Schizosaccharomyces pombe: one gene and its partner. The gene in region 2 interacts genetically with the main gene of each other region. Each region holds a gene or a part of one and is shown on either strand. Other genes may lie near its edges.

The links.
Region 1: of cdk9 (region 2) and brl2, changing one enhances a phenotype caused by changing the other (phenotypic enhancement), as found in Schizosaccharomyces pombe (2 studies listed by BioGRID).

What each region holds. Positions count from the first base shown.
Region 1 is NC_003421.2:487,968-493,667, reverse strand, and holds brl2 (histone H2B-K119 ubiquitin ligase complex (HULC) subunit, ubiquitin-protein ligase E3 Brl2), read right to left. Parts: upstream 3,888-5,700; 5' UTR 3,601-3,887; coding exon 3,511-3,600; exon of another isoform or gene 3,447-3,510; coding exon 1,494-3,446; 3' UTR 1,299-1,493; coding exon of another isoform or gene 884-1,298; 3' UTR 837-883; coding exon of another isoform or gene 606-836; 3' UTR 561-605; downstream 1-560. Other genes in the region: sec8 (exocyst complex subunit Exo4), read left to right, coding at 1-68, 119-560, 606-836, 884-1,298; wtf antidote-like meiotic drive suppressor Wtf9, read right to left, coding at 5,149-5,231, 5,282-5,344, 5,385-5,576, 5,622-5,700. UniProt on the Schizosaccharomyces pombe protein: E3 ubiquitin-protein ligase which belongs to the histone H2B ubiquitin ligase complex (HULC) which mediates monoubiquitination of histone H2B to form H2BK123ub1.
Region 2 is NC_003423.3:1,468,568-1,473,682, forward strand, and holds cdk9 (P-TEFb-associated cyclin-dependent protein kinase Cdk9), read left to right. Parts: upstream 1-2,000; 5' UTR 2,001-2,112; coding exon 2,113-2,255; exon of another isoform or gene 2,256-2,306; coding exon 2,307-2,388; exon of another isoform or gene 2,389-2,508; coding exon 2,509-4,059; 3' UTR 4,060-4,615; downstream 4,616-5,115. Other genes in the region: wdr8 (WD repeat-containing protein), read left to right, coding at 1-320, 393-468, 508-1,520; DNA-binding forkhead transcription factor, meiotic Mei4, read left to right, coding at 4,627-5,115. UniProt on the Schizosaccharomyces pombe protein: Component of the positive transcription elongation factor b (P-TEFb) which consists of cdk9 and pch1, and which phosphorylates the C-terminal domain (CTD) of RNA polymerase II and spt5.

The DNA.
Region 1 (5,700 bases), on a different chromosome or scaffold from region 2:
AGAATTTTATGAATTATTACATACTTTGCTTGTTCGTTTTCGCAACCATTGTTCTGATTATCTCTCTGGTATGTTTCATTTCCATTTTTTCACTGTTTCCCCAGCTTACCCTTTATAGATTTGTGCAGAACGGCTGTTCTCAAAGAATACAAACATGTCAACGAGGATACTGAAGATGTCGATGATACTGTTCGAGTAAAGCTACTTCACGACGATGTAACGTACCCTCAATTTATTAAATTCCTCAAGCAAAAAAATCCATCACTTGAAGGGTTAAATGAGCTTTGTCGAATGGAGAATAAGCGTTTATTACAATATGAAGATCGTGCGATTACGTCCGAAGTTAAACTTCCGGTATCGGTTTTATCCAAAGATTCCGACCTAGTGAACTCGGTTTCTTATCTTCATAACTCCATGGAATGGTTTCTTCAGCGCTGTTTTTCAAGATTTATGAACGGTTCGCGAAGAATGAACGTTTTGCAACAAAACCAAGCTAATTTCGGTGGTGACTTTTTACCAATTGATAATTTGTTGGGTAATAATTCGGATTTAATGAAGGGGTATGTTACTGTATGTATTGAACTTTATACTGATTTTTATAAAAGTGCATATAAAGAAGTCTTTGATTCTTTACAGAGGCTCCAATTCGATGCTTTACTGCTAATCCGAATGGAAGTTCGGTTACAGTACATTCATAGTATTAATCAAAGTGTAAACCTTCCTGACTATGTTGTCGAGTACCGCGGAAGACCAGATGCTTCGATAATGGCTCTCAACTCTACTATTGTGACGACGAATTTGAAACTCGAAACCTGTTTGAATGAATGGGAACGAAGGTAAATAACAAATGAATTCCTTATATTGATTTGCTAACTTTTTATAGGTTTGTATTCCAAGGTCTGAGTGAACTGGTTGATTCATCGCTATACTCTATCTTTTACAAAATAGAATCAATGAATAGAGGCAGCTGTCTTCAGATGCTGAAAAATATGTCAGCAATGATTCAGATTCTTAAGACGGTTAAGGAAATTCATGGCGACGTTGAATTTCCTAAATCTTCTAGAGTCTTTGGAATATACCAAAATGGTGCCAAGAAAATTATCGAGCACTTCATTGCTGCCCCCAAAAAGGAACTTTTGCCTGACGTTAAACAGATGGTCCGAATTTATTACCAGCGATTAATGAAAGATGCAAAAAGAAACGGAAGGGACGATCTTTATCGGCAGTATCAGAAAAAGATTGGCTCGGTTTTAACTCAGTTCGACAACACTGTGGGTGGTGCGAGAAAAAATCCTTAACCGTATAATATAGAATTTTAATTATAATGACGAGTAATGATTTTATAATAATAAATTTATTAACTAAAAACATAGATGCATTGGATAGTTTAAAAACTACGTGACCTAGTTTCAAAGATTATATTAAGGAAAATGATTTGTTATATATACAGCGTTTTCCTGAAAGACATAATTTACACAAATAAAACATATTCTTCAAAGATGTATCGGAATAACATCAGAAGCACCAAATCCACGACCGCAAATCGGGCATCTGCGTTGCCGTGTTTCAATCCGTTTTTGTATGCATTGGTAACAAAAGCCATGACCACAGAGAGAAATAATTCGATCTTTCCAGCGCTCGAAGTTACAAACTGAACACTTACACATGGCCCTAAAAGTTTTTAACTCTTCAGCTGACGTTGATACCCCAGTATCCTTTAACTTTCGCTTCTCTTTTTCATGCTCTTCATCTTGCTTGGAAAGTATATCTATAGAAGATGATAAATCTGAGCATTGAAATTCAAGGTCTGTTAATGTAGCATTATTTTTATCCATAAATTGCTGTAAATAAGACACCTTTTCTTCCAGGTTTTGAATAGTTGATTTTTGAGATGACTTTTTGACTTGAAACGTTGTTGATTGTTTTATAGAGTTATTTCGAACCGATGATAGACGGGCTAGCTGATCTTCAAACTCTATTATTCTATGGACAGCAGTGTCTTGGCTATTTAACATTTTTGAGATAATTTCGTTGGTCTTCTGGTACTTCTGGCGCAGTAACTTTACTTCAGCATGAAGACTATCTGTAGACTTCATGGTCAGAAAATATTTTTGCTCCGCCTTTTCCTTTTCGACACTAAATTTGGTTATCAATTCTTGATAATGGGAGTGGCTACTTTTCACAGTTTGCTGTTTTACCAACCTAAATGCTTTTTCAGTAGAAGCCAACTCTTTAGAAAGGTAAGTTGACAGATCTTTTTGTAACTCCAAATCGTTAAGGTCTACGAGCCGGATTTTGTTTGCAGCTTCACGGGTAGCCACCGCTTTTTTCTTTTCCAATACCATTGTCTCTAAATTCGCAAGTTCATCTAACTTGTCTTTGTAGACCTTCTCTTTTTGCTTTTTAGCTTCCAACTTCTTTTCAAGGGATAAGCTTAATTCAGTCTTTGCGTTATTAATTCTTTTTTCATCGTTTTGCATAACAGATATTTGATGATCAAGATCGTTTATTAACGGCTGATAGGAAGATTCAAAAACACCGTTAAAATTCTTTGACTGTTGCGACAATACATTTATTTCGTGAGAACATTCGGACAATAAGTGCTCTAATACGCGTAACTGCTCAGATGTCATAGAAACAGCTTCTTTAAGTGCTAAAAAGGAAGAGTATTTTTTCAAGTTTGTAGTTTCGACGTTGTTTAATGCGTTTTCTCGTTCCATAATTAATTTATCCATTTCATTAACGTTCGAATCCAAAATTTTAAGGCTTTGTGAGCGAGACTCCATTAAACCATTTTGTTGGTCTTGAAGCCTGGATAATTGTTGCAGTTGAGTACGTTGTTCAACCGTGCTAACTTTCTTTTCTTCATCTTTCCCCTTAGAGGAGGTGGTTGCTTCCTCTTTCACTTTAGTAGACTGGGGTCTCACTGATTCATTAATGCATTGCAAAGTAAAACTAGACGAGCGATCTGGTAGTTTTATAATTGAATGAAGCTGAGACCGAGTGGTATCCAATTCATCTAAAATCTTGTCAATATCCAAATTAATGGTGTTTAATTTCTCAGTAAGGGCAGAGTCATCAATTGATAAAACTGAAAAAGGATCTCTGGAGACCGAATTTGTGCTTGAGTCAACAGTAGACAAGAGTTTTTGAATGATGCTCAAGGCTTTAGTTTTATTATTTTTCACAGCGTCATTGAAGTATGAAAGCTCCGGGAATTTCTCCAAAATCGAAAAAACACCTTCACTCTCGAAGTCCTTCAGCTCATTGCCTTGAAACACAACGCTAAACTGCTGAAGTATTTCAGGCCACCAAGAGACCAAAGTAGCTAAAACTTTTAATTTCTCTTCTGCTAAATTTTGAAGTCCCTCTATTTTACTTTCTAACTCATCAAATTGAATGCTCCTCACTCTTACATCCTTTAATAAGTCTTCTTTAGAGACTTCCTTTAACAGAGTTAGCGACATGTCTTAACATTCGAATGCCTAAAGGCTCAACACGTTAACATACCTGAATATCATCATCTTGTATTTCTACATCTTCAAGTTCTCTTTTCTGGCCTAAGATTGTGGGGGCATCTGGTTTACCATTCTGATACATTCTCGAAAGTCGTATACATCAACCTATCAATATAAATTTCCTTTTTTTCAGAACAATTTGTTTTTTAACGAAAAAAGAAAACAGCCAAAACCTAAAAGACAGACTGTATTTTTCTTATACTAAACGTAATAACGCGTAATGAATAAGCAAGTTATAGATACGCGTCTTTACAGATCTATTTCAAATTCTCCTTCTTAGTTGAAACTTGCCGTATTGAAAATATGCAATTCGAAGCGAATTAAGTTAATTGCCATTCAATACAATAAAATGGGTAAAAGTGAAGTGGTAGAGGGCAGACACGAGTTTACGATCTATTTACTCAGTCACTAAACTACTTTAGTGAAAAATTGTCGTATTTGAAGAAATTCGAGTTAACTATCCATCTGGTATCCACTTTAACGAAATGTAAAATTGCGGTGAGTTTTCCTTGTGATCTATTATATTGCAACACACAGGTTGTATAAGTAGCAACTGAGTATAGGTATTGTATTAACTGGGTTATAATGTTACCTATCACTAGTATAGCTCATAACTGAACTGAGGAACGAGGTTCAGTTGTAACGCTATTTATAAATGGCTGTTATCAACGGGTATTTATGTACATAGACGAATAGTTACCTGTGATTATCAACAAGCGGATCTTAACTAGTATTTCAACATATGACATATAGTGATACACTACGTTGCGTATCACTATATGTCACATGTTCTAATTATATATCGTACCATGTATGATACGATATGGAGATTAATCTTAATGATAATCTATTCAGATCTATATTATCTGAATACTATAAATAGAGCTACCACTGAACTGAGGAACGAGGTTCAGTTATGAGCTATACTAGTGATAGGTAACATTATAACCCAGTTAATACAATACCTATACTCAGTTGCTACTTATACAACCTGTGTATTGTAATATAATAGATCACAAGGAAAACTCACCGCAGTTCTACGTATCCTTAAATCAGATACCAAACTGCGTAGCTTACACGTAATTACGATAACAAACCATCGTTCTAAACCACAATATTCTATTATGCTGCTCATTATTTTGTAAACATTAAATTTTGTTTGAATTGAACCATTAAACAGAAGGGAAAAATGATTATTAAGCTTGATTAAATTAAGAATCAAGATGAAGGAGAAATGAATGTAACAACGACAATGAAATTGTGAATTTAACAAGGTGGAACAACGAGTTTTCCGATTTCATTAGTTGATTTAAAGTTGTCGTAAACAAGTTAAACCATTATTGTTTGTAGCGTAGAGTACCATTAAAAAAGACAAATAATTAGACTCGCATACATTATAAATAAAGACTTCGGTCCTCAATGCACATTATCCAACATCGTAGAATGCATTGGTTGAAAATCTTTGGTAATTGAAAGAATAAGTTAAGCATATATTCCATAAACTTATAGTGAAAGAGGATGATTAAAGAAAGTTGGTGCTAATTTTTTAAAAAACGCCGCAGCTTCTCTGCATTGGTGATTTTGGTAAAGAGGTTTTCCAACTGTAGCGACAACTACATTAATAAAGCAATTAGACTTCGCTTTCGGCCTCCGTTTCTTCCAAGGGAATGTCATTATTATCGTTGGCACCTCCAATCGCATTTGCTATACCTCCTAGTCGGGTAAGTAAAAAATCATTCATACAGTTGGTTGAATACACATACCTAGGAAAGAAGCTATACCATTCCTGATAAATTTGGGCATCCTTTTGAGAGCACCTGGACATTCTGATACGGTTAGAGTAAATTACAGGAATATTAAACAAACCCATTTCGTAAAAGAAAAGAAAATTTCCTATAACAAAGAGTGAAGAGGCTTCAATTTCGTAGCCTGTCCCGTCGATATGTTTATCAAATAAATGCATCAAACCTTTCTGTACAATAACGACACAACTTTGTACACCCAGTACTTGAAACAAACCAGAAAACATATGCTTGAGTGTCCAAAATGGAAGACGAACTGCGTGTTAGCGGTCAGTAATGGTAACTCCATAACTTCACATACCATATAGTAAAAATAAAAGTAAAGCAGCTGAAATACTGCATGTAGAACAGATGAGAGCCTTGTCTAAGTTCAAATTACC
Region 2 (5,115 bases):
CAAGTGTTTCACATTGTGGTAATTGGATTGCGTCTTTATCTCGCTCTGGGCATGTCTTAATTCGAAATTCTGAAACCCTCGAGCTTCACCATGTGTTCCTTCTAAACGCTCAATTCATTCAAAAGGTTGTATACTTGTTATGGAAACCCAATTTAGGAGCAGAAAAATGCCATCAAATTTGTGTTGCCTCAGTTGATAAAGTGTTTGTATTAGATATTGTACAACACGATTATTATGCTAGCATACAGTGCGACCAGGATCCTTTGAGTAGTATCAGCTGGAGCCCGTCTGGAGAACTGCTTCTCTGGTCGTCCTTTGATGTACGTTGTATCTAATAAAATTTGCACAACTTTTTGCTTATATATCTGCGATGCTAATAGCAAATTTTTTAGTCGAAGATTACTGTGTGGTCTTTAAATACCCAGAAAGGTTATTTGCTTCCACATGTAAAAACCAATGTTTCGAAAGGTATTTCTTGTCTGATATATCAATTTACTGACTGTTTAGTTTACGCTTTACATCCATCCATGCAATTCTGTACTATATTATCTCGTTTTAACGGTTCGGATTGCCTTCAATTTTACCAAATCAGCAAAAAGGCATGGATACTTCTTAAAGAGTGTAAGCTTCCTACAATAGATTCGACGGGTATCCATTGGTCGCCAGATGGAAACTGGTTAGCTGTTTTGGAAAACGTATTAGATGCAGTTGTTTATATTTATCATCGCACCGGTCTTCTTTTTCACGAATATCGACCAAATAGGTTAATTGAAGTCGGCTTTTCCGATTTTGAGTGGAGTCCCTTTGGCAAATATCTAACTTTGTGCAGTTACCATGATTCAACCTTACATCTACTTGAAACAAAAACTTTTAGTATAGTTTTTCGACTTCACCATTGTTTGCAATATACCAATACTGACTTGGAAATGCATATATGGGAAGAGAAGGAAACAATCTATGAGCAACAAATGACTTATCAAAAAGTACATAAACTCAGAACCGATTTCCCAGAACCCTCCTTTTGTTCAGCATCAAAAATACGTTTCAACTGTGATGAGACGTATGCTGCTACAATTACTTCTAAATATCCTAATGTTCTTTGGCTATGGAATTTACAGAATAAAAAACTGCACACTGTTCTTATTCAAAAACATCATATAGTGTATTTTGAATGGCATCCAGGTCGTCCCGATTTGGTGGTCATTCAAACAAAAATTAGGAAAGAATCCAAAATTCCGTCTAATGCTACATTCCTATACTTCTGGGCTTTAAGTTGGAATACACCCAGGGTCGTTGGAGTTCCAAAAAAAGGTTTTAATATTCAGAAGGTTCAATGGCTTCAACCATCAGAATTCAGTTCTCGTCCAGTTATAGTAATTTGTGGTGAAGATGCATATACCGTTGCTTACATTGTGGAAGATGAAGATGAATCATTTACCGAAGTTACTCAAACTATAATTTCTCAAGAAGTTTTAGATAATGAGTTAGAAACAACGCAAACGATTTCCATACCATCTTAAGGGATTTACTTTCTATCTTAAAAGTCTTAATTATTGTAACCATTTTTAAATATTCTTTTTATTTTACTAACGACCTAATTAATTCGCTTAATGTCTATAATATTTTAATGCACGTTCATTGTTCCCGCATGTAAAACATGAGCACCCTGAGCACCCCGTCAGCTTAAGGCCTTTGCATACCTCTTATAGTTTGAATGTCTTTTTCAGTCTATTCAACTATCTTTTTCTAAATTTAGTACGTACTATTCCTGAGTTTTAATAACTACTCTTTCCTGATTCATAAATTGTAAACTTTGCGCATTTATTTGAGATTAGGGAGTCCTTTGAAAGATATTTAAAACTAATGCAACTTTTTCCCTTTATAAAAAGCATTGTTTATTCTCTATACTTACAGTATTGTTTTCTCATTTTGAAACATAGCGCATTTTACTTCGCCTCCGTATTTAATGCATATAGTTGATAGTTGGGTCCACTTCCACTATATCCTCATCAGATGCAACATTTCGCGCATCGATCGGGTTTATACTACAATTTGTATAATTAACTTTATTCACTAATCGTTGGGATCTTTTGTATAATATAAGTTAAAAAAATGAAACGCTCAAGCAGCGTTTCTGTCGAAGATGAGAAATCAGCAAGGAGAAAATTAGATGTCGTACCCAAACTTCATTTTGTAGGGTGCAGCCATTTAACGGATTATCATTTAATGGAAAAATTAGGAGAAGGAACATTTGGGTATGTGTCAAATATCTGATTTTGAATTTTATCACTAACTTGGTTCACCAGCGAAGTTTACAAATCGCAGCGGCGTAAGGACGGGAAGGTATATGCGCTGAAAAGAATACTCATGCATACTGAAAAGGAAGGTGTAAGTAGATGTTTGTTTAGATTCTTGTTCATTTTGACAGAATGACTTGGGACGCATCGACTTGATTGCGTTAATTGTTTTAATTAATTCATGAATAAATACTAAAGCATTACATTTTAGTTTCCCATTACAGCCATTCGCGAAATAAAAATTTTAAAATCGATTAAACACGAGAATATTATTCCATTATCTGATATGACTGTTGTTCGTGCAGACAAGAAGCATCGACGTCGTGGTTCTATATATATGGTGACTCCTTATATGGATCATGACCTTTCAGGTTTATTAGAAAATCCAAGTGTAAAATTCACGGAGCCGCAAATTAAATGCTATATGAAGCAATTGTTTGCTGGAACCAAATACTTACATGATCAGCTTATCCTTCATAGAGATCTTAAAGCTGCTAATTTATTGATTGATAATCACGGGATTTTAAAAATTGCCGATTTTGGTCTCGCACGTGTGATAACGGAGGAGTCATATGCAAACAAAAATCCTGGCTTGCCTCCACCTAATCGTAGAGAATACACTGGATGTGTGGTTACACGCTGGTATAGATCACCAGAACTTTTGCTTGGCGAGCGTCGTTACACTACCGCTATTGATATGTGGAGCGTGGGATGCATCATGGCCGAAATGTATAAAGGAAGGCCAATCCTTCAAGGAAGTAGTGATTTGGACCAATTGGATAAAATCTTTCGCCTTTGTGGATCACCAACTCAAGCTACTATGCCAAATTGGGAAAAGCTTCCTGGGTGCGAAGGCGTTCGCTCTTTTCCTTCACACCCTAGAACACTTGAAACTGCATTTTTTACTTTCGGAAAGGAAATGACTTCTCTTTGCGGTGCTATTTTGACCCTTAATCCGGATGAACGTTTATCTGCTTCAATGGCTTTAGAGCATGAATATTTTACAACACCACCATATCCAGCAAACCCTTCTGAACTACAGAGCTACAGTGCTTCTCATGAGTACGACAAAAGAAGGAAAAGAGAACAGAGAGATGCTAATTCACATGCGTTTGAACAAACCGCTAATGGTAAGAGACAGTTCCGGTTCATGACTCGTGGACCTAGCGATCCGTGGTATGGAATTCGTCGGCCAAATTATAACTCACAACCGCAATACCAACGTGGTTCGTACAATCGTGAAGGCGGTAACATGGATAGAAGTCGTAATGTTAATTATCAGCCTAAGCGTCAGCAAAATTTTAAACCTTTAACGTCTGATTTGCCACAGAAAAATTCCGAATTTTCTGAAACTAACGCTATGAATCAAACTTCTAATCATTCTCATGCAGACGGTCAACGCTACTACCGGCCTGAACAAGACCGATCTCAACGATTAAGAAACCCCTCGGATTACGGCCGTCAAGGAAGACAATCTTCCCAGTCTCAACAACCAGCATGGAATGTGTCCTCCAGATACCAGAATAATAGCAAAGTACAAACGACATCTCGAGCAAGCGAAAATGCGGATACCAACAAAACACAACACAATATTAAGTACATTGACTCATATGTTCCTGAATACTCAATTGCTAGACAATCTGCCAACCAAAAGACCAACGAGCAACATCCATCTTCTACTAGCTTGCACCAACAATCCACATCTGATCTGAAGTCACCCTCTTTTCATGAAAATTCCAACGTTGATGACACTCCTAAATGATCCATACGAATGTGCTCTTTTTACTTTTTGGCTTTCTCTTCATATCTTAAATTAACTTAATTTGCTGAGCATCCCATAATATTTTTAATGGCCTTTCCGCGTGATGGCGACTGTTCATTAAAGGCCAAAGTTGGTTTTCTAGCTCAAAATAAAATTTAAAACAAAAAGGAAAAAGCAAAGAAAATTAATTATATTTCTTTTTTCTTTAAAAGCTTGACCTTAGCAAATTGAGCACGGAGATTTTTATTTGTATTATTTATTTACTAAATTTATAATCTTAAAACATGACTTGTAAGTAATGTATTGGAAAGAAAATTACTTTATTTTCAACAAAACTGCTTTTTTCCTTGCTTGTGTTTACATATTTACGGTATTTTCTTCCCTTCCCATACCCATGTTTTGACCTCGGTTAAATACCTCTTGTTTGTATACGGCTTGACCAGCCCTCTCCCACCTACCTACTACAAAACCCGTCATCCAAAAACAGAGTCAAAATAACACAAATACCATTAATAATTACCTAATAAATATAATAATCAGTACTCTAAAAATTATTAAATTGTTCAAATGGTTGAAAATCAAGGGAATGTCGAAGCACATGGTAAACCCAAAAAGGTCATACTTAGCCTTTCATTAAAGGAATCTTCAAAAATTAATGATTCTCAAAATGTTTCCAATGTGTCTTCTAAAGAAAAATGCGAAACTGAAGCATTGCTTCGTGAAGAGAATAAAGAAAACCTGAGTAGTGACAGTATACGACAAATGATATTTGGAGATGAAATGGCGGGCTTTGTGGATACTGGTGAAAAACCACCGTGTTCTTATGCTACATTAATCGGTTTGGCGATCCTACAATCACATAACAAGCAACTGACTTTAAGCGGGATTTATACGTGGATTCGCAACACGTTTCGCTACTACCTCAACCATGATGGTGGTTGGCAAAATAGCATTAGGCACAACCTTTCATTAAACAAAGCCTTTATCAAAGTAGAAAAACCCAAGGGTAAAACTTTAAAAGGTCATTATTGGACAATTGATCCTGACCATATGCAG